Linked DNA regions of Notamacropus eugenii. The protein of the gene in region 2 binds, or shares a complex with, the protein of the main gene of each other region. Links are inferred from orthologs where the notes say so. Each region holds a gene or a part of one and is shown on either strand. Other genes may lie near its edges.

What was found.
Region 1: NSMCE4A (region 2) and NSMCE2 share a complex: the UniProt entries of both Homo sapiens proteins name them as parts of the SMC5-SMC6 complex. The link is inferred for Notamacropus eugenii from reciprocal best matches to the Homo sapiens genes NSMCE4A and NSMCE2.

The regions. Positions count from the first base shown.
Region 1 is NC_092875.1:118,918,744-118,926,233, forward strand, and holds the start of NSMCE2 (E3 SUMO-protein ligase NSE2), read right to left. Parts: upstream 3,021-7,490; 5' UTR 2,805-3,020; intron 1-2,804. UniProt on the Homo sapiens protein: E3 SUMO-protein ligase component of the SMC5-SMC6 complex, a complex involved in DNA double-strand break repair by homologous recombination. Is not be required for the stability of the complex.
Region 2 is NC_092872.1:202,579,591-202,587,563, forward strand, and holds the start of NSMCE4A (non-structural maintenance of chromosomes element 4 homolog A), read right to left. Parts: upstream 3,036-7,973; 5' UTR 2,903-3,035; coding exon 2,638-2,902; intron 1,433-2,637; coding exon 1,352-1,432; intron 1-1,351. UniProt on the Homo sapiens protein: Component of the SMC5-SMC6 complex, a complex involved in DNA double-strand breaks by homologous recombination. The complex may promote sister chromatid homologous recombination by recruiting the SMC1-SMC3 cohesin complex to double-strand breaks.

The DNA.
Region 1 (7,490 bases), on a different chromosome or scaffold from region 2:
CCTTCCACCTTCTTTTTCATCTGTACAAAGCTTTGTTGTTGTCATTTCAAAATATGGTCAGACTCAATGTTTATGCTCAATACAACAAACATGAGAGCCTCAATTAAGCCTGGACAGCTGGGTAGCACAGTGGATAGAGTGCTGGGCCTGGAGTCAGGAAGAACCCTGTGTGACCCAGAGCATATCACCTCAGTTTCCTCATCTTTAAAATTAATTGAAGAAGGAAAAGGCAAACCACCCCAGTATCTTTGCCAAGAAAACCCCAAATGGGATCACCAAGAGTCACACGTGCCTGAAGCAACACAATAACTAACCCTAACCTCCATTTAATGAACTCCAGGGGCACCCTATTACCTCCAGATCTGTCTGGCTTTAAAAGCCCCTCACAACCTAGCTCCACCCCATTTTACACAGTACTACAATCAAAGATCCTGCCAAATCAAGCTTTTTACTGTTCCGCACAACAACCCTGTATCCTGGAATGTTCTTTCTCATCTCCAAATGTTCTTTCTCCTGGCTTCCAAAGCTTCTTTAAAAACCCATGTTCAATTCCACTTGCTAAAAGGCATTTCCCCAGCTTTCCCACTCTCTACACCACCTCCCACAGCAAATGCCTTCTCTCTGAGATTACCTCTCATTTCCACAGTTTATGCCTTTTATGTACAGAATTGCTAGTCTGTTGTCCCCATCCTCCACTAGAATAGACAGGAAGTTCTTGAGGATAGGAACAGTTTGGTTTCTTTTCCCCCCTGCATTTGCAGAAATTAGTACAGGGCCTGGCACACTGTAAGTACTTAATAAATGCTTGAGTATGCTCCAAATACAGATAGAAATCTATAAAATTTTCTATTACACAGAAACATGTTTCCATCTCCTACAAGATAAGCCTTTTTATGTTCCATTTTTTTACTTATTTTTACTTTTCAACATTCACTTTTATAAGATTTTGAGTTCTAAATTTTCTCCCTCCCTCTCCTCTGCCATCCTCAAGATGGTATTTCATTTGATATATACATATACAATCATATTAAACATATTTGTACATCAGTCATGTTATAAAGAAGAATCAAAACCAAAAGGAAAAACCACAAAAAAAGGAAAAGCAAACAAAAAAAAGAGAGCAACTAGTATGCTTCAATATGCATTCAGACCCAAGTTATTTCTTTGGATGTGGATAGCATTTTCCATCTTCAGTCTTGGAATTGCGTTAGATCATTAAGTTGCTGAGAAGAGCTAAGTCTATCACAGCTGGTCATTGCACAATTTTACTGTATGCAGCGCCCTCCAGGTTCAGCTCAGCATCAGCTCCTTTAAGTCTTTCCAGGTTTTTCTGAAATCCACCTGCTCATCATTTCTTATGGAACAATAGTATGCCTTTACCTTCACATACCACAACTTGTTCAGCCATTTCCCTCGATTTCCACTTCTTTGCTACCACAAAAAGAGCTAATATAAATATTTTTGTACATGTGGGTCCTTTTCGCATTCTGATGATCTCTTGGGGATACAGAACTAGAAGTGGTATTGCTGTATGCACAGATCCTCCCACCAGGAGATGGACTGGTCTGTCCTACATGTCCATTAAGTAACCACCCTTGCTGCGATCCCCTCCCAAACATGCTTTAACACAGGACCCATGATCAGAAAAGGGAGGGATAATTTCACGCGGGGTGTGTCTGCTTCTATGCATGAGGCTCCTTAAGCAAGCGCAGTGAAGAAAAGTTTTCTCCAGGTCCTTTTTCTTGGCTAGTTCCAGCTAGCTGTAGATTTGGTTCCTTTATCAAAAACTTGGTAATTTTCTGAAGGCCACTCCAATTGGTTGAGCCCACCTGCAGTCTGCAGGCCTTCTTATTATCTGAAGTATTCTCAATGATGTCATCCACTCATAATAACTTCTGGAGAAACTTTGTTATCTCTCCAACGAGCTAACTGTGAACCTAAACCCTTTCCCTCCCCGGAGTAAGGTGGTACAAAAGGGAGCAAGATTATGCCTTCCATGTTTTAAGTGGATACATTTGTATACACAATTAGACCCGAAGCGAATATTCCCCTTCCTTCCAAACACACACACCCGCTCAAAGAAGGAGGAAGAGAAAACGAGCGACGGAGAGAGAGAGACAGCACGGAGACCCTGAGATCAAAGCGCCCCTCCCCTACTACTAACTGGGGTTCTGGGCAAGCTCCTGGACTTGTGCAAAGCGGGGCTACCCACGTCGTGGGGGCGACTGTGAAGTCTTTGGCAAACCTGTGCCACAGAGAAATGCTGAAACAGATCCAGGGAAAAATGGACTCAGCGGAACCAGGATCACGTACAAAACCCGGGCCGACTGCAGAGCGGCGCTCAGCGCAGCGGTCAGGCGCACCCCGACACGGCTGGGGAGGCCCCCAAGGCGCAAGGGCGCACACACCTCTCAGGCACGGCCAGCGTGGGACGGCGTTTCGGGCTCCGCAGCCAGGATTGGGTTTTTAAGGCTGTGGGCTTCTTTTTATTTGCTTCATGTGGGAAAGATGTTTATGTTCATTTTTTAAATGTTTTTTAAAAATCCTGAAAGCGACCTAAATGCTGATTATCAATACTAGGCGATCGTGTACCCTCTGAGTCTCAGTTGCCCCACCTGGGCAATGAGGGTCCGGACTAGAGGGCACCTACCCCCTCCAGGCTCCTGTCACAAGCTACGCACTGAACAAAACGCTGGTGGAAACGGAATCGAGTCCAGGTCAGTACCTCCACGGTCTTCCCCGGAAGGACATAACTCACAGGTCAACAGGTCCTTTCCCACCTCCACCCGCGCCGGGCCCCTTACCTGGTCCGGTCGGCCGGCCCACACTGGAACCCGCCTCAGTCAGAAGCCTCCGGCCAAACTTTGGATGCCGCCTCTCTCTGATCCCTATGGAGACCAGCGCGGAACTGGCGCCGATCTCGCGTCATCACTAGGCGCTGACATACGTCATCACCGGGCGCCGGGGGGGGGGGCATAAGTTAGTCACGTGGTGGCCTTCACCTACTCCCTTTCCTTCTGGACGTGGTTGTTCACGTGACCCTTCCTGGTCCCGCCTCCGCGCTCCACCCTGTTCCATCCCATTCTAGTCATGTGACAACCGTAGTGGCTCCGAGGCTGGGGAAGGGGGTTGGTTGGGGCCTTCGGTTGGGGTGGGGGGCCGAGGGGAAATTGTCAGGCACCGGCCGCCGGCCGTGACGGGCGAGGAGGGCGCCGACCCCCCCACCGCTCCTCCTGCCCCCCCAGACCGGGACAAGCAGAGACAGACCTCGGCCCTGGAGCAGGGCCTGGCCCCGTGGCAGGTGACTGAGGGAGAGCCGGGTCCACGACCCGGCGGGAGGAGCTGGGAAGGAAGGAAGACCGTGCCTGCTCCCCGGGGGCCCGTGGTACCTGGGACCAGTGACTCAGGCTGGAGCCCCTGGGACAGGGTGAGCATCCTGGTGATGAGGGGCGGGGGAAGGAGGAGGGCAGCCCCTGCCCGCCTTGCGTGCCTGGGCGAATGTGAGAAGGTGAGGGAGCCTTGGGGATCTCGTGATTATCCAGCGGGGCCCTGGCGTGGGATTCGGTTTCCTGCGGTTCCCCGGGTGTGCGAGTCATTTCCCTGTGCTGGGCCTCAGTTTCCTTGTTTAGAAAATGAAAAGCAAATGGCCCTTCGAGCTCTGAGCCCTGTGGTTCGCACTCTAAACTGGAATATTTCCTAGTTGTAAGTGCGGATGAAAGAAACTGAGGCCCAGACGTAGGAAGGATAGCTTGGAGACTCGATACAGTACTAAACTTGTACGAAGGTGGTGGTATAATCAGGTGCCTAGCCGCACACAGATACTTCTTTTTCCAGGTTTGAAGCACCCCTGTGGTGACTCTTGTTGTTATACCGCAGAATCAAGGTTTGTTTTCAGGGTGCGTGTGTGTATGTATGTGTAAGTAAAGACTGGGCAACTTTGGGTCCCAAAGTAAGATAAAATACAGGGGTTTTCCAAAGGCTGTTTCACATTTCTAGGCTTGCTTATGGAGGGGTGTGATGAGTCCTTTTATTGTTTGAAGTACAATCACATTCTTTCTAGTGTTAATTCCCATCCTGAAAATTATTGGACGACATGCCAATTAATAAACAAAACCTTTTTTATACTTTTCTAGGACTTAGGAAAAACATATAGATTAAGGGACACTTAGGATCATAGAACTGAGAGCTGAAATGAACTTCAGAGATCATTTAGTTCAATTCCTTTTATTTTACAGATAGGAAAACAGTCTTGTAGAGGTATAAGTTAACGTGACAATAGTGACTTTTCCGTGGTCCCTATGGTAGTAAATATTACAGCCAAAATTAAAATGCAAATACTCTGACTCTAAATCTCATGCTGTTTCCACGAAATCATACTGTCAATCAGTAAACATTTTGTTAAGTGTCTAATGTGTGGCAGGCACTGTGCTAAGCAGTGGAGACACAAAAGGAGGCAAAAGGCAGGCCCTGCTCTCAAAGAGCTCACAATCTAATAGGGAAACAGTATGCAAACAATTATATACAAAGCAAGCTACATAAATAAGACAAATAGGAAATAATTGGCAAAAGGAAAACACTAGAATTGAGAGGAGTTGGGGAATGCTTCCTGGAGAAGGTGAAATTTTAGTTGTAACTTAAAAGGAAGTGAGAAAGGTCCAATTGGAGGAGGGAGAGCAAAACAGGCACGAGGGACAACCAGAGTGAATGTTCTGAACCCAGAAAATGGAATGTCCTGTCTGTGGAGCAGCCAGGAGTCCAGTGTTACTGGATCAGAGACTATATGGAGGAGAGTAAGGTGTAAGAAATCTGAGTTGTGAAGGGCTCTGAACACCAAACAGAGCATGTTGTATTTGCCTCTAGAGTCAATAGGAAGCCACTGGAGTTTATCAGGGGGCATGGGAGTGAGTAACATGATCACACTTTCATTTTAGGAAAATCACTTTAGTGACTGAATGAAGAATGAACTGGGAGTGGGCACAGACCTGAGACAGGCAGACCTGCCAGCAGGCCAGTTCAACACTCTAGGTCTGAGGTGATGAGGACCTGTACCAGAGTGGTGGCAGCGTCAGAGAAAAGAAGGGGGTATATTTGAAAGATGTTACAAAAGTGAAATTAACAAGCCTTGGTGGCAGATTAGATATGAGTGACAGATAGTGAGGGTTCGAGAATGACTCCTGGGTTGTGAACCTGAGAGACTTGGAGGGTGGTATTGCCCTCAATAGTAATATGGAAAGTAGGAGGCCTGGAAGGCTTGGGGAGGAGGGGGAAGGGAATAGTGAGTTCTATTTTGAATGTATTGGATGTAAGGTGTCTACTGGACATCCAGTTTGAAATATCTGAAAGGCAGCGGGAGATGCAAGATTGGAAGGTTGGTTTGAGAATCATCAGCATAGACATGGTAATTAAATCCATGGGAGCTGATGAGATCACCAAATGAAGTAACAGAGGGAGAAGAAAAGAGGGCCCAAGGTAGAATGCTGAGGGACACCTGTACTTAGTGGGCATTGTCTGGAGGAGGATCCAGTAAAGGATACAAAGGAGTGGTCAAAGGAAAACCAGGAGAGAGTGGTATCATGAAAACCTAGAGAGAGGAGAGCATTGAGGACTAGAAGGGGATTGATCGACCGCGTCAAAAGCTGCAGAGAGGTCAAGGAGAATGACATTTGAGAAAAGGCCAATGGATTCATCAGTTAAGAATCATTAGTAACTTTGGAGAGATCATTTTTGGTGGAATGATAAGGTTGGAACCCCAAATTGTAAGACATTAAGAAGAGAGTGAAAGGAAAGGAAATGGAGACACCTTTTGTAGAAGGTTTTTTTGAGAAGTTAAGTACAGAAAACAGAAGAAATATAAAATTATGTATCTTAGGGATGGAAGGATTCGGGTGGGGAGACATGAGCATGTTTATAGGCAGTAGGAGATGAGCCAGTAGAGAGAGTGAGATTGAAAATAAGTGAGAGTGGGGATGACATCGGGGACAGTCCCTTAGAGGAATTGGAATAGGATTAGAAGGTTGGAATGGGATTACTTGAACAAGTAAATAGAGGGGCTTAGTCTTGGTAAGAAGTAGGAGCACTTCATCATGTGAGACAAGGGTGATGGAGAGACAGTTGCAGAAAGCACTTGATAAGAGATGAGGAAGAGGGGAAAAGAAGTAATTGGGCAAATGTACTCAATTTTTTCTGTAAAACATGAGGCAAGATTCTCAGACGAAAGAATGGGTGAAGGGAAGCCATGGTAGGCTTGAGGAGGGATAATAAAGTTTGAAAGAGTCTCTGGAGAGTGGGATAGTGAGTTCATAAGGGAGATATGGTAAGTTTACCTAGCAACAGTGAGGACCCAGTTGAAGTTATGTGACATAAATTTGTTGTGGACCCAGTCAGAACAGTTGGGTGATTTTGTGGTAGCCTTCATTTAGCAGGGTGTTTGCATTCCAGTTAGCATACATATAATAGTAAAGACTTCTTCTACAATTTTGGAAACTAATCATTGGGATTATTCCCCATCCCTAGCAAACAGCAAAGTTTTCTTGAGGAGCAGAATATTATTGCTGCCCCTTAGAGTTAAGACTAAGTTTAGAAGACATTAAAACTTTTTAATCCCTTGTAAAAATTATCTGTGTTTGTGGAGAGGTTGCAGAGTAATTTGTCATCTTTAAAGAAAATCCTAAACATAGCCCTTTAGGAGTCTAAGTAACCTGTTTAGGACTAGCTTTCAGCTGACAATGAGGATTCAGATTACTGATTTGAATAAATAAATGCTTACTTGTGGAAATTCAGTACATTGGTTACATAGGAAATATCTATGACAGAGAATTGTTATTTATTATTAGCAGTTACATTGTTGTAATGTAAATAAGTTGCTATTGCATATCAGTTTTATATTTTTAAGTTTTTCCATCAGCAAAAAAAGTAGCAAGAAGCTATCAATATCAGAATTGAAACAAGCTCACAACTTACTGACAAATTCTAACCACAGCAGACAAATAATCAACGTTTTAATTTTAGGTAGAAGAAAGAAAAATCTTCCCCCCACCATTTTTTCCAGTCAACAAGCATTTATTCAGTCAGTGAGTCATTGAAGATTTATTAAATGCCTACTATTTGCCAAGTATTATGCTAAACTCTAGGAATAGAAAAAGAAGCAAAAGACAGTCTCTATCTTCAAGGAGGGAAGCTAGATGGCACAGTGGATAGAGTGCCAGTCCTGGAGTCAGGAAGTTTCATCTTTCTGAGTTCATATTTGGCCTCAGACACTAACCTGTGTGACCCTAGGAGAGTCACTTAACCCTGTTTGTCTCAATCTCCTCATCTGTAAAAGCTGGAGAAGGAAATGACAAACCACTGAAGTATCTCTTCCAAGAAAACCTCAAATGGGGTCACAAAGAGTCCGACCCACCTGAAAAGACTCAACAAATACGACCCTCAAGGTCCTTAAAAAATAATCAGGGAGACAACAAACAAATATGTACAAACACACTACATGCAGA
Region 2 (7,973 bases):
CTTTTCACTGTACTCTGCTGCCTTTTAAATTAATTTCTATTTACTTGTGTACATGGTGTTTAAACTCCTTGAAGGGACTCTTTCATTTTTATTTCTACATGTCTATCATTTCATACACTGTCTTACGCAGAACAGATGTTTAACCTTTTTTTTGAACTGAATTTACTAAAACAGAACTCTTACCTCTTTACCAAAACAAAACTCTTTTCCTCTTTTCTCCATTTCTGTTAATGTGATTCTTTTTTCAGTCATTAAGTCCTAATTAAACCTTAGTCATCTCTGATTATGGCAACCTAGAGGGCCAGGCCTGGAGCCAGGAAGACTCATCTTCCTGAGTTCAAATCTGGTCTCAGACACTTAATAGCTGTGTGACCCTGGGCAAATCACTTAACCCTGCTTGCCTCAGTTTCCTCATCTGTAAAATGAGATGGAGAAGGCAATAGCAAATCACTCCAGTTCTTTTGCCAAGAAAACCCCAAATGGGGTCATGAAGAATTGAACACACCGAAAGGAGTGAGCCACAACATCTTTGATTATCTCCTCCTACCCCCTATCCAATCATGATTACTACTACAAATAAACATATACTGAGTAGCTGCTGTACTGTACTATACTAGGTGATGTGAATGTGCGTTCGTCCTTCATTGCCAAAGAAGACCATGCCATCAGAGAAATGATGACATGACTTGTGCACTGGACTTTGTTGTGAGTGAAGGAGTGCTGTGCAGGTCACCAGCCTCACTTCTCCTCCAGAGTCATCTGAACCCAGTGACCAGATATTCATCAGGATGACTAGAGATGATCGAGGATGAGGCAGTTGCGGTTAAGTGACTTGCCCAAGGTCACACAGCTAGAGAGTGTCAAGTGTCTGAGGAGAGATTTGAACTCAGGTCCTCCTGACTCCTGCACTGGTGCTCTATCCACTGCACCACCTAGCTGCCTCAGGTGATGTGAATACAAAAAGACTGAAGCCTCAATCAATGTCAGGTGAATAGTTGAAGAGACCAGGGTAAAGGAAAGTATTAAAAAAAAAATAAAAGTAAAGTATTGGGATGTTACTGCACTATTAGAAATGATGACAGAAGAATCCATAAAACCTCGTAAAGAAATACATGAAATGATGAAGAGCAAAGTAAGCTAAATGAAGAGAATGCAGAAAATGACAGAGAAAAACAATACTGAAAGACGTTACAACTCAGATAACTAAAACAACTAACCCCTCCTTACAAAATTCTCTAAGGCACAAATTTGATGTCAGCAATTTAAATCTAGCCATAAGCCCAACAATTTGAGTCACCCTAATATTCCTGGTTAAGTTTAAAACTAGAAATTACTAAATACTATCACTTACCTCTGTTAAACAGCTGGTTGGCTTGTTCAAGTGCATCTGTTAATTTGTTGCTTTTTGAACTCAACATATCTTCCCGTTGTTCTATTTTAAAAATACATACTTTAGAAAACTGAAATTTTAATACATTATTGTCAAAAAGCAACATCAACAGCAAGTATTTCCAAAGGTCCTGCTCCCCACCTTTTCGAGAATTATCGTCAAAAAATTTCACATGATAAAGACAGTTTAGTGCTTTAAAAAGAGTCTGGAATCCCTTACACCTTTCTCTTCCCAACCTGTTGGTTTTTTCCATAATTCGTGAGCTTCTCTTTATACAACTAAACTACAGAAAGAGGGCTGTATGGGGTGTTAAGAGGACTGGATCTGGAACCAGAAGAGCTGAGTTCTAATCCAAGTCTTGCACTTACTGGCCTTGTGATCTTGGTCAAGCTACTCATCCTCCACCTCAGTTTCTACAAATGTAAAATCAGGGCAAACTTCCTCTGAGGATACTTTGAAAGAAACCCATTCAAGGCATGATTTGCACATGGTCTAAAGCTGGTAAGGAACTCTCCGGTGAAGAAACTTCCTCTCCCAATGCAGACTAACTGTTCTGCAACTTTTAATCTCTGAGGGTTTCTGGGACCCTGACAATGACTTGGCCAGGGTCACACAGCCTGCGTGTACGAGGGAGGGCTCGAAACCAGTCTTCCAGCCTCAGAGGGCAGCTCTGTCCACTGTGCCCCCTGCCTCTAGTTGCCTACGGTGAGCCATGAACATCTCAACCAATTCATAATTATAACGACAAAATAATGATAAAATGACAAGATAGGCAGCACCCCGCTCTTTAAACAGTCCGAAGAGAAACTATCAAGCGTGCAAAGCGCTCCCGGAGCAGATGTGGGGATAACACACAGAGCCGGGGAGGCAGAGGAGATGCTGCACAAGTTAAATGTGGGCTGCTGCCATTATTATTAGAGGGATTCAGGAGAGGGGCAGCTGGGTGGCGAAAGCGGTGGAGAGCCGGAGTCAGGAGGTCCGGAATTCAAATCCAGCCTAGCCGTGGGACCCTGGGCCAGTCTCTTCACCTGCCAGACTCAGTTTCCTCCGAGATCAACAGCCCCTCCCTCCCAAAGCGGTGGTGAGGCTCGTGAAACCCTCACTGTAAAGCGCTCCTCGGCGCACCCAGCAGGGGGGCACCCACGGGGGCGCACCCAGCAGGGGGGCTCTAAGCACAGAAGGCACAGCCGGAGGTCAGAGGAGGCTGCCCCGCCCCCCTTGCCGCCCCTCCCCCGCTCCCCGCTCACGCTGCACGTTGTGGATGAGCTCGCGGTACTGATGGCGGATCAGGCGCCGCTTGCCGTCGTCGCCCTCCGTCTCCAAGTTCGGCTCTGAGCCTCCGGGGGCCGGGCAGGGCTCGTCGTCCGCCGCCTCGCCATCGCCCCGGTCGTCGATGCCCTGGTTTTGCTGCGGGGTCCGACAGCCGCTCGCCTCTCGCGGGGCGGGCGGGAGCGAGTCCCGCTGCCGGCTGGTGCTCGCCCGGGCCGGGCCGCGGCTGTAGTTCCCCAGCATGGCCCTAGCCCCGCTGTGGCTTCACGGAGAGGAGTAACTGTGCGCACCCTCCGCGGGGAAAGGGAAGGGGGAGGGGAGAGAGATGCGCTGCTGCGCGTGCGCAGCACCGCCCCCTGCCTTCTCGCTTCTGGACTGGGCATTTCTCTTCCGGTTCGTAATTAAGGGAAGGCGGACGGTGACCCCGCAGGCACAAAATGCGTTTGGTTTCTAGACTGGCTCGGTGCGGTCCCTGGTGGGGGATGGTCGTGTCAGCTTTCCCACGCCCAAGCCTCCCCGCGCCCGCGGCGCTTAACCCTTTGTGTGCCCTGGAAGCGTCCGGACGAAGCCGGGGGATCCCTTCTCTGGACAGGGTTTTCAAGATGCATAACCTGGCCACCGAAGCCGCCTCCCCTGAAACACGGTGACTAGAATATTTTTAAAAAGCAATTTCACAGACCCCCTGATGAGCCCCTACAGCGGGTGCGGGTCCTCGGGTCACCTCCCACGCGGACCCCCCACGGTGCTGTTTTCCCTATTGTGTCCCTTTACGGTTTTATGCCCTCGCCTTTCATAAAGCAGTGTGTGGAAATACAATACGATTTCCATCTTTTATTCAGACAGAATTAAGAATTTATTGCAATTTTTATGTAACAAATCCTAAATGTTCAATAAAATGGTAGCACAAAGCTGATTGGATCCTTTATGAATCAGGATCCATACAGTTCATTTTACAACAAAACTTAAAATGCTATTCACCTGATTAACGGGAGGCTTGTTTTTCAGTTAAAAAAAAGGAAACTTGGTGTTCACGGTGATAATGCTACTAGTAAATCTTTTCCAAGAACTCCTGGAGAGATATCTTGTTACTGAAACAAACTGTAGCCAAAAACCCTATTTCATATGAATAAAAAGTTGCAAACTGCAGTAAAATTTGCATTGCTTTGCCTAATATACCAGATAATTCTTTTTTTACCCGTGGCTAAATCATAAGATTTCAGAAGTTCTTGTTCTGATGGAGTAAGAACAAATGTATCCTCTTTGTAAATAGCAAATGGTTTCATTATCCATTATTTTCATCCAGAATCCCAAAGGCTTTAAAATAATGTGTTGTTTCTTCATATTGATCAAATGATTAATGAGAGATTAATAAGTTGATCATTTTTTTATTTCATTTGCAAGGCAGGCGTTTTAAAGTTGGGAAACAAAAATATTTTATAAATTTTTTTTTTATATCTCTGTTTTCTTGTTCAGTCATGGCTGACTCTTTGTGACCCTGTTTGGGTTTGGTTTTTTGAGGGTTTTTTTGCAAAGATACTGGACTGATTTGGCATTTATTTCTCTGGCTTATTTTACAGATGAGGAAACTGAGGCAAACAGGGTTAAAGTGACTTGCCCGGAGTCACACACCATGGAAGTATCTGAGGCTGGATTTGAACTCAGGAAGATGAGCCTTCCTGATTCTATGCACTGTGCCACATATTAAAGTACACGGTAGTTGTTGTTTGGTCCTGTCTGACTCTTCGTGATCCCATTTGGGGTTTTCTTGGCAGTGATGCTGGAGTTGGTTTACCATTTCTTTCCCTAGCTTATTTTACAGATGAGCAAAGTGAGGCAAACCTAGGGTTTAATGATTTACCTAGGGTCACACAGATAGTACATATTCCTGACTCCAGCCTTGGTGGTCAATACGTTATGGTTTGGGGTGCTGAGAACCTTGTAATGCAAGGGCATAGCAGGTCTGCCTTAACAGAATTTGACAGCTCAAGCCTTCTTTCAATCAAAGCTTTATTTGTGAGCCAGTAGAATTGAGCTGGATTCAAAGTGAATCTACGAAATTTAAGGGGGGTGGCGCATAAATTGGTACTTATATGCAAGAAAAGACAGTGAGAAGATCTAGATGGGATAAAGGAGTGTTAAATAGCCTGGGGTGGTCCAGGTGCAGACAATGTAAGGAGTTAAGTGATGGGAGAGCCACAGTTAAAAAGATTATTGAGCATCTAGGTGTACCGAGATGGGCCAGATGTCTCAGGCCAACACTAGGGACTGAGTTGTGTGGGAAAGTTGAGGGAAACGGCTTCCTGCTGGCAAGGGCTGTAGGTTTCAAAGACGTAGTCTTTTCCTTTTAGGGGTCCAGGTCTCATCACCCCATCATATCCACTCTACCACCTAGCTGTCCAAATATTTCATAAGTGGCCAGTAATTTTATTCTTCTGGATTGAAATATGAGTTAGAGGACCTTGCACTGATTTATTTGTGAGTACCATTTTTCAAAAATATTCACCAAATGTACAAGTTTAAGGAGAATATTTTTGTCATAAAATGAATCTGTTGTATCTATATCATCACTGAAGAAAAATGGTAATTTCTCTTAGCTCAAACACTGACATACATAAGAAAGCCAAAAGTATTTTAGAGGAATGTAGAAGTTACCTATGCTCTGTTCTCATGTTGTCACACAATTTATAAAATCCTTTTAATGTACTTATTAATAAAGTTGATTACTCTGCTAACAACTTGAAAAACTATATGTAGCTTCTTACTCATATTTCTCAATACAGTGAAACATAGATAGCACTCCCTCTGGGCCAATTTCCTAGCTTGCATTTATACGCTGGTTGTTTCCTCAGAGGGAAGAAAATATTCTCAGATTCTAGGGGCACCTGGTGGATCCATGTTCCTAAAAGAACTCAGGCGTACACATTGGTGAGCTTTCCTAAGGTGACAGTAAAAATAGTAGTTATAAAACATTTCCCCACACAAACTTGTGGTATACCTTCCACAATTACACACAGAGGGAAGAATGTGAACAAATTACACGGTGAGGTACACACATGGGGAATATGTGTAGGCAGGAAAACTCGTGACTTTTGTGATGCAGGGATCGAAATTCTTTTTTATCTTTGTGGATTCTTCATACTGTTCCCTGTTAGAGAAAACATCTCTGCTGAGTGAACTACTCCATGGGTTTCCTGGGTCTCTTCCTCTCCACTGCTAAACTCTCAGATTACAGGGCTACTTCTCCCTTGAATCCAGTTAGCTCTCTTCTTTGCTGCCAGGGGTCTTACTTATTGAAGCTGCCTCTTGGTTAGAATGCTTCTTTCTATGTCTCCCTTGAGATTGGTGGTCTCCACTACCTGCTGGGACTTACCAGGTTAGTTCCTGTAATGTGCTTTAGATGCACCAACATTCTAAGGATGCAGCATCCATAATGCATCATGGAAGAATCCTTTGTACTCAAAATGGGCCCAACAGCACAACAGATACACCTACTCAGGCATTCAATCATGCTGAAGTGATTGGAAAGAAACTAACTTCATTAATAAAGGAAATACACCAGAAAAACTGCCTGTCCAAATGTAGTCTAAAACAAAAGAAAAAAATGTTAAGTTTTCTCTACTGAACCTCTGAAAAAGAGTGAGGGAGGGCTGTGCAAGGTCACCAGCCTCCCTTTCTCCTCCTGAGCCATCTGGGTCCAGTGACCAGATATTCATCAGGATGACTGGAGATGGCCCAGGATGCAATGGGAGACCTTGGTCTTTTAGGCTAGGCCTTTCCAGGTAATCACTTATAGGGTGGTAGCGCCCATTCAGTGAAGAGGCCTCTTTCCTTCCCAGCTTGAAATCATCTAGTCACAATACTAGGAAAGTACATCTATATGCCTAACGTTCCTTCCTTCAGTTTCTGGAGGGAATATTTCTTATTTTCATACTTTTACCTCTGTAAAAGTTTCTAATCTGCTCCAAAGGGAGAGATTATGTCAACATTTTAGCAGACAATAGAAATAATTTATATTGTGCCTAAACCTGGGACAAATTTCTTCCTGAATAAGACCCATTCTCTATTTCTATACATTATTGTAATTGTTCAGTCATTTTCAGTCATGTCATTTTACAGATGAGGAAACTGAGGCAAACAGGGTCACACAGCTAGTAAGTGTCTAAGGCCAGATTTCAAGGTGACTTTTCCTGACTCCAGGCCTGGCACTTTATTCACTGCACCATCTCCACATATTATCATTCATTATTGTGCAATCAGATAGGTATGTTGGAGGAAACATCTTGATAGGAAGGGAGAGCTCCTTACATTGTTCTTCTACTCTTAGAAGGGAAGGAAAAAAATCCAATCTAAGCAAGAAATTGAACTAGTTTTAAACTATTGAGTCAACTAAAAGTTAATTGAAATAATTAATGACCAATTAATAGCTCTTTGGGTTTTTATGACACTGTTCTCTTGGTTTCCTTACTTGTCTCATTCTCAGTCTCCATTGCTGGGTCATCATCCATATCTTTTGCTCTGATTATGGGTCTACCCCAGCGTTCTATTCCCGGTGACCTTATTAGGTTACGTAGGTTTAATCTTCTACCTAGATGACTCCCAGTTCTATTAGATCAACAGTTATATGTGTGTGTTCATCCTTCATTGCCGAAGAAGACCATGCCATCAGAGAAATGATGACATGACGTGCACTTGACTTTGTTTTGAGTGAGGCAGGGTTGTGCAGGTCACCAGCCTCACTTCTCCTCCAAAGCCATCTGAATCCAGTGACCAGATACTCATCAGGATGACTGGAGATGACCCAGGATGAGGCAATTGGGGATCTACAGTTATAATCTTTCTCTGGAGGTCCAGTTTCACATCACCAATTCCCACAGAATGGCCCACTGATATTTCAACCTCAGCATATCCAAAACAGAATTCATTATTACCTGCTATAACCTTCCACACCTATCTAAGACTGAAGTCATGGAGTATGCCCGTTATCTGCATTTGTGTATTTTTTAAACCCCTGTTCCTACTTCCAGGGATACCATCTCTATTCCAAATCTCTTGTACCCATAATTTAGTTTCTGCTTGCCAAACAGAACCACTTTAGGATCATTTCAAGGACTTATCTTGTAATAAATAGCCAAGTATTCTCTGGATTTAAAATTTTAAACTTGGTTTTTTTATTTTCAAATTCCAAAGGTTTTTTGGTGGGGGATAGTATCTTCTGTTCAAATGAATTAGAGAGGAATAGGTCAAGAACAAAACCTCTTGGTGAAGGAATTATCGTCCACCTTAATACTTTGTTCCTCATTGCTACCTTTATTAC